2 linked regions of the Callithrix jacchus genome follow. The protein of the gene in region 1 binds, or shares a complex with, the protein of each later gene. Links are inferred from orthologs where the notes say so. Each region holds a gene or a part of one and is shown in the gene's direction. Other genes may lie near its edges. The genes, in order: CAPZB and CAPZA3.

Region 1 (3,391 bases):
CCTCGGCCCTCCTGTCACCACGTTGTTTCGGAAGGAGGGGCGGTGCTCTCTGGTCTCACAGAATTGTTCACAAAATTAGTGGGGAGTCCGAGGGGTGATGATGTGGTTTAGACCAGCTCCCAGGCATGGGCAGAGTTGGCCGCCGGTACCTGGGTATTGGCTTCCTCCCTGCCTGAGGACGGGAAGGCGCCTGGAGCACAGATTGCAGGTGGAGCGCGCTCACCCATGTCCCAGAGCAGGCCTGTGCCGCCCTCCAGCGGCCACATTGGGGACTGCAGGGCTGGCAGGCCGAGGGAGGATGTGGGCCCGGGGTTCCTGACCATTTTGCCACATCCCTTCCAGGACATGGAAAATAAAATCAGAAGTACACTGAACGAGATCTACTTTGGAAAAACAAAGGATATTGTCAACGGTCTGAGGTAATGTACCAGAAGGCACAAGCTTTAGAAGCAGAAAGAGGGATTTGAACCCTGCCTCTGCCAGTTCCTAGCTGTGTGGCCTTGGGCCCGGGTTTCCTCGTTTGTAGCCTGCAGCACCCCTCTTCTAGGATTGTTATGCCAGTCTGGGGAAGTAAAGTCCTGGTGTGCCATCTGTACCCTCAGTAGCAGCTATCGGTCCCTACCTGCACCGTTGGTTTTCTGGGGCACATTCACTCTAACGGCCATTGGTGCCCTCGCCCCAGAGCCTCCTCAGGCCTGCAGTTTGTTAGTCCCCGTGCAAGAATGTGCCCAGCCCCTCCATCCTGGGCCTGGGGGAGCCTCGAGACCTCAGCCTGGGCCTTCTCAGGGGCCCCAGCCTCTCTGACGTCCTCTGCCAGTGCTCTGCTGGCAATGGCCAGTGTTCTGCACCGTCACACCCACCTGGTGCCCTTGGCTCTGCAGTGTCAGCCTGAACAAAGGCCGGGGCTCTCTGGACCCTCCAGGTCCATGGTGGACAGAGCCAGAGGCAGGCCTCTTGCATGAGGCCAGAGCCCAGTGGGGACAGTAAAGACGGCTGTGGAGTGAGCACTGGCCCTGGAGTCAGGAGGCCAGGATCTCCCCTAAGCTCTGTCATCCTGAGCTACGAAGCCTCTGGCACACCTCGAAGAGGCCCTTGTTTGATGGAGGAGGCGGGTCAGCTGAGGTGATGAATCTGGAGCACGCTCTGCAGTCGCGCAGCACCGTGTGAGTCCGGGCTGTGCTGTGCCCTTGGCGCCCAGCCCTCTCACCTATTGCCATGGCAGAGATCTCACAGCCCAGCCCGGAGGAAAGGCAGGATGCCGCTCTGGGGCGACCCTGGCTCATGGATTGGGGTGGGTGACAGCTTTCAGTCGCCTGCTCCACAGTTTTAAAACAGGCGGTGTCCTCCTTGGGCCAATGTCTTCCTGATCTCCTGCCCACCTCAGGGAGGCTTGGTTTCATGACCTGTGGCAGGTTCAGAGCCCCGTGGTCCCAGGTGTCAGGACGGCCACCTGCAGCCACTGCCCAGCCACACCAAACACACTTTCCCTCCTGGCCAACCTGCACAGTTCCCAGGCAGTGGCTGGGAAGTGAGGGAGACAAGCAGAAGAGCCTGCAGGGTGGTGGTAGCAAGCCCCTGAAAACCATGACCACTGCCCACGGCGATGCCACTCCACAGCCCGAAGCCGCCAGGGCACTCCCCTTCCGCCCCGTGGGTCTCCCTGAATTTCCTCCTCAGCTGTGGCCCCTGCATTCCCTGTGTTCTCGTCGTTCTCTTCCCTCCCGCCCCACTCATCTTGAACACTCTCTGTAGATCTGTTGATGCTATCCCTGACAACCAAAAGTTTAAGCAGTTGCAGAGGGAGCTCTCTCAAGTGCTGACCCAGCGCCAGATCTACATCCAGCCTGATAATTAGGCCGATCCAGGTACCCTGCCTGAGAGCCGCGAGACCCTCCCCACTAAACAGGACTCACCAACCCGCTGAGACCCTGCCGGTCTGGCTGCTGCTGCGCAGCCATTTAAACCACCACTAACCCCCACGTGTGCCCCCGGCCGGTGAGCAGCCGCATTCCTGTGGAGCCTCAGCCCCATGTGACACGGCACCAATCACGTGTGTGTTCTTTGCACTATGGGCGGAGGCTGGGTGTGGGGGAGACAGCTGATTTATTTGGCTTTTGCTTCTGAAGAAGCCCAGGCAGAGGGATGGATGCTGCCTCTCCAGCAGCAGCCACTTGTGTGCACTGGCCTGACTGTCCCCAGTGGGGGTCTGCCTGCACGCCACCCCCAATGCTTCAGAGGAGCCTCTGACGCTGGTGCAGGGGTCTCAAGCCAAATAAGACCCCTGCTCAGCACCGCATTGGCTGTCTGGGGCTAGCTGACTTGGAAGGGGTGACCTCACCCTCTGATCTCTAAGTTTCTGGGGTTGGAGGGCAGAGTCAGGGTTGGACTCCACCCTGGCCAGCCCCGACGCACTGCTGAAGCTGCCTGGATGCCCAGAGCTGATGCGGCCAGGACCAGCATAACCTTCTGCCCTAACGAGCTGCAGCTATTCCTTTAAACAGGTTACACTGATGGAAAGGAAAATAGCCTTGCTTGTTGGTAATGGCCAAGAACCATGACTTGAGCTTGTGACAGATCCAGATGCAGGGAAGGAGGCAGCATCCGTGGAGAGCAGGAGGGAACCTTGTTTGTAAAACGAAGGCATTTGGAACTCTGCCGGCTGGGGCTGCAGAGCCCAGGTCCAGGGGCTCTGCATTGAAGGCCCACCCCGGAAGGGGTGCAGTGGGCTTTCCAAGGTGGAGGTGGGGTCAGGCACTTAGAAAACCAGGTGAAGCTGCTTTTCCCAGGCCATGGGACTTAAGTGCACCAGTCTGGTCTGTGAGTACCAGCTTAAGGTCCAAGACTCTCTGGTCAGCCTCGTAATGGGGCCATCAGACATTTCCATCATGGCATGGAGAAAAAGACCCTTTTTAAAGTACACTGTGATGGTGCAGTTCCCTGGTCGCCCACTGGGGGCATCCTGGCATAGAAACCCTGGCAACCAGGTCTGCTCAGGACCGCTCCTCCCTCCCGCAGAGTCGAGCACTGTCTCTAAGCGCTGATTCAAGGTTGCTTGGCCATGACCTTCCCAAGCTCTGCCCCTTAAATGAGCCCCCTGCTCCTTCCACCCTCTACCATTTCACTTCTAACTTCCTGTGTCTAACTTGATTCTGGCTCTGGAACTTTCTCCTTTGTGGGGTCCGGCCAAGACCTAGTGTGCTTGGCTCTTCCTTCCCAGAAGAGCTGGTGACCACCCAGGTGCAGGGTCCCGTGCGCTGCTGCTTTACCCTCGCATCTCCTACTGGCCGTGTTGACCTCCTGCTGAGAGCTTGGCAAGAAGCCCTTGGGGGATTGGCTGAGATTTGGAGCCTGAGGGCCATGGGGGCTGATGCTTTGGCCGCTGCAGAGCCAG
Region 2 (3,119 bases), on another chromosome or scaffold:
GCTGGATTTCAATATCACCTCTCACCCGACCTCTCTCAGTTTTAGTTCTCTCTTCCAGAAAGGTGAGCAAATTTACCCTGAATCTTAAGGAAGGTAGAAGCATTAGATGAATTCCTAATATGTCACTGAATATAGTTGCTGCTACTTAGTGTTCAATAAATAGTAACCATGACTGATAAAATTATTATTAATAGATTAGTCATATGCCCAGCTACACACACACTCAAGAAAGTGACATTTTAAGTACCATCCAAAAGCATCAAAAATACCATGCTGAGTGTATACTGGTATGAAAGAGAAAACAAAAAATTTACTTATCATAGACAGATAAGCTACAAAAACTAGGACACCTCCATACTAAGACTGAAATGACATAATGACAATTATCACTAAAATCATAAAAGGTATGGGTACAAATCATGCAAAACTAAGTTTCAGGATTGTTAGAGCAAATTTGCGAGATGTCGTTAAACTGAATCGTTATGACTTAATACAGCAAAGCTCATGTCCTTGTAAGAAAAAGATACCAGAATGTAGGTAAACTTAGAAAAGCTCAGAGCAGACATGGAACAAGCAGTTCGACTTCAATGAAGAGGATTTAAATTCAGGACTCTTCGAAAAGAATAACAGCATCAAGTACAGAGGATAACTAGGAGAAAGGAGAAGAGGGGCAGGAGGAACTTTCAATGGATATCTCGTTTCCATAGTTGTATGACCTGTAGAGCCGTTTCTCCTCGCTTAGAAGTCTCTCCCAATAGGTGCTGTCACGGGTTCCAAATACAATTAACTTTGTCCCTTTGCAGAAAATAAATTCTTGATACTCATCGGCTGTTACCACTTTTCTAGGGAGAAAGCAGAGAATACACAGTGGTCTGCTGCCTTTGTTCTTTGAAGCTAGCTCACACTTAGCCACAGAAACAGTATGCAAGATGTGGTACCTGCATTACCCTGCCCTGGAAACTTTTCAGCTTCTTCAGTTCTGACTGTCTCCACACCCACTGTTTGAAAACACAGCTTTCTCTGATGTCTGGCATTTTTCCATGAACTGCTACTGTATCTCATTTAATTTTACTATTTTATTTTAACCCCTCAAACCTTTCATCATAATGTGCTTCCAGTGCGTTTGGGCAGCTACTCTGAGAGGCTGAGTATAAATCAACACCACTGTGACTCCTGACGCTCGAAAGGGCTGTCACTCTGGAAACTGGGCTGCTGCTCTAGATCCCTGACAACATGTAACGCACACAGAGACGCACCATTCTGAAGAAGACTATTCAGGAGGCTCAGTTCTTAAAATCTTCAAAATAGGTACAGCGGGTTAGCTGGGCAGCACACTGTCAGGTGACTGTCATTTTTTTCTTTTGGTCTGAATGCCCATTGTGATATCATCAGAGGTTCCCCACTGCATAGAGAAAGATTCTTTATGACCTCACCAGGAGGCTCAGAGCTTGCCAGACTGCCTGCTTTCCTGGGGGGGCACAGTCATCTTCAGCTTGAATGTTAACACCTTGATGGGAAAAGTGTCTCATGGAATGTTTTCTTATCCTTTGAACACTCTTTATTTCAGAAGCTTTGCTTCTGTTGCAATGAATCATGGCACTTAGCGTGCTGAGCAGGAAGGACAAGGAAAAAGTCATTCGCAGACTGTTAATACAGGTACCTCCGGGGGAATTTGTAAATGCCTTTGATGATCTCTGTCTGCTTATCCGTGATGAAAAACTCATGCACCGTCAAGGTGAATGTGCAGGCCACCAACACTGCCAAAAATATTCTGTACCACTCAGCATCGACGGAAATCCAGTACTCTTGTCTCACCACAATGTAATGGGTGACTTCCGATTCTTTGACTACCAAAGCAAACTTTCTTTCAAATATAACCTGCTTCAAAATCAGCTGAAAGACATCCGAAGCCATGGTGTCATTCGGAATGAGACAGAATGCCTGAGAGTCGTCGTGCTGTGCGCCTTAAAACTGTATGTGAACGACCACTATCCGAAAGGAAACTGCAACGTGCTGAGAAAAACTGTCCAAAGTAAGGAGTACTTGATAGCTTGCATTGAAGACCACAACTACGAAACGGGAGAGTGCTGGAATGGACTTTGGAAATCCACATGGATTTTCCAAGTTAACCCATTCCTAACTCAAGTAACAGGAAGAATATATGTGCGAGCTCACTTCTTCAGGTGTGTCAACCTTCATATTGAAATATCCAAGGACCTGAAAGAAAGCTTGGAAATAGTTAACCAAGCTCAACTGGCTCTGAGTTTTGCAAGGCTTGTGGAAGAGCAAGAGAACAAATTTCAAGCTGCAGTCTTGGAAGAATTACGGGAGTTATCCAACGAAACCCTGAGAAGAATTCTACGAAGGGATCTTCCGGTGACCCGCACTCTTATTGACTGGCAGAGGATACTCTCTGACTTGAATCTGGTGATGTATCCTAAATTAGGATATGTCATTTATTCAAGAAGTGTGCTGTGCAACTGGATAATATAAAGAACTGCTCCTGGTAACGATCTCGATCTGACTCATTTATGATTCTGGGGAATAGTTATTTTCCTACTATTAAGCAATCTGTAGAGATGTTTCTCACTTAGCCAATGCACGTTTAAATAAGGAACGTGTTACAAGTGATTTTACTTGGGAAATATTTATATATAAGGCAAGAAAGTGTAAAGTGAAATGTGTTTCATAGTAGTGATCATCATAAAGACCAAGACATTTGTTAGAAACTAAAATAGTTTTACAGAATATGGGATTCCAGAAATAATATATGGGTGGCCAGGGCTAAGGCCGTGTGTGTGTGTGTGTGTGTGTGTGTGTGTGTGTGTGTGAAAGAGAGAGACTTCTGAGTTTGTTTTGAACTGAAAAGGTATACAAATGGATATCACTCCACCAATGATATTTTACATCACTCAGTTTAGTCCTGGACCATCCACAAGAGGATGAATTTCAATAACTGACGTTAGGTTTGGATTTTCCATGAAACCAACAGATACCAAAAATCTAGCTCAGATGAAGGACTATTAACACATTTGGCTACTCTTCCTTTCTACTTCCCTCCCCTCAAGAATTGGGGTTACTCAAAATCTCTGTCTTGTCTGATAACGAACATGGTCTTC

Evidence for each region.
Region 2: CAPZB (region 1) and CAPZA3 share a complex: the UniProt entries of both Homo sapiens proteins name them as parts of the WASH complex. The link is inferred for Callithrix jacchus from reciprocal best matches to the Homo sapiens genes CAPZB and CAPZA3.

The regions. Positions count from the first base shown.
Region 1 is NC_133508.1:56,245,761-56,249,151, reverse strand, and holds part of CAPZB (F-actin-capping protein subunit beta), read left to right. Parts: intron 1-342; coding exon 343-419; intron 420-1,752; coding exon 1,753-1,855; 3' UTR 1,856-1,865; intron 1,866-3,391. UniProt on the Homo sapiens protein: F-actin-capping proteins bind in a Ca(2+)-independent manner to the fast growing ends of actin filaments (barbed end) thereby blocking the exchange of subunits at these ends.
Region 2 is NC_133510.1:4,738,361-4,741,479, reverse strand, and holds CAPZA3 (F-actin-capping protein subunit alpha-3), read left to right. Parts: upstream 1-1,450; 5' UTR 1,451-1,593; coding exon 1,594-2,493; 3' UTR 2,494-2,533; downstream 2,534-3,119. Other genes in the region: PLCZ1 (1-phosphatidylinositol 4,5-bisphosphate phosphodiesterase zeta-1), read right to left, coding at 695-705. UniProt on the Homo sapiens protein: F-actin-capping proteins bind in a Ca(2+)-independent manner to the fast growing ends of actin filaments (barbed end) thereby blocking the exchange of subunits at these ends.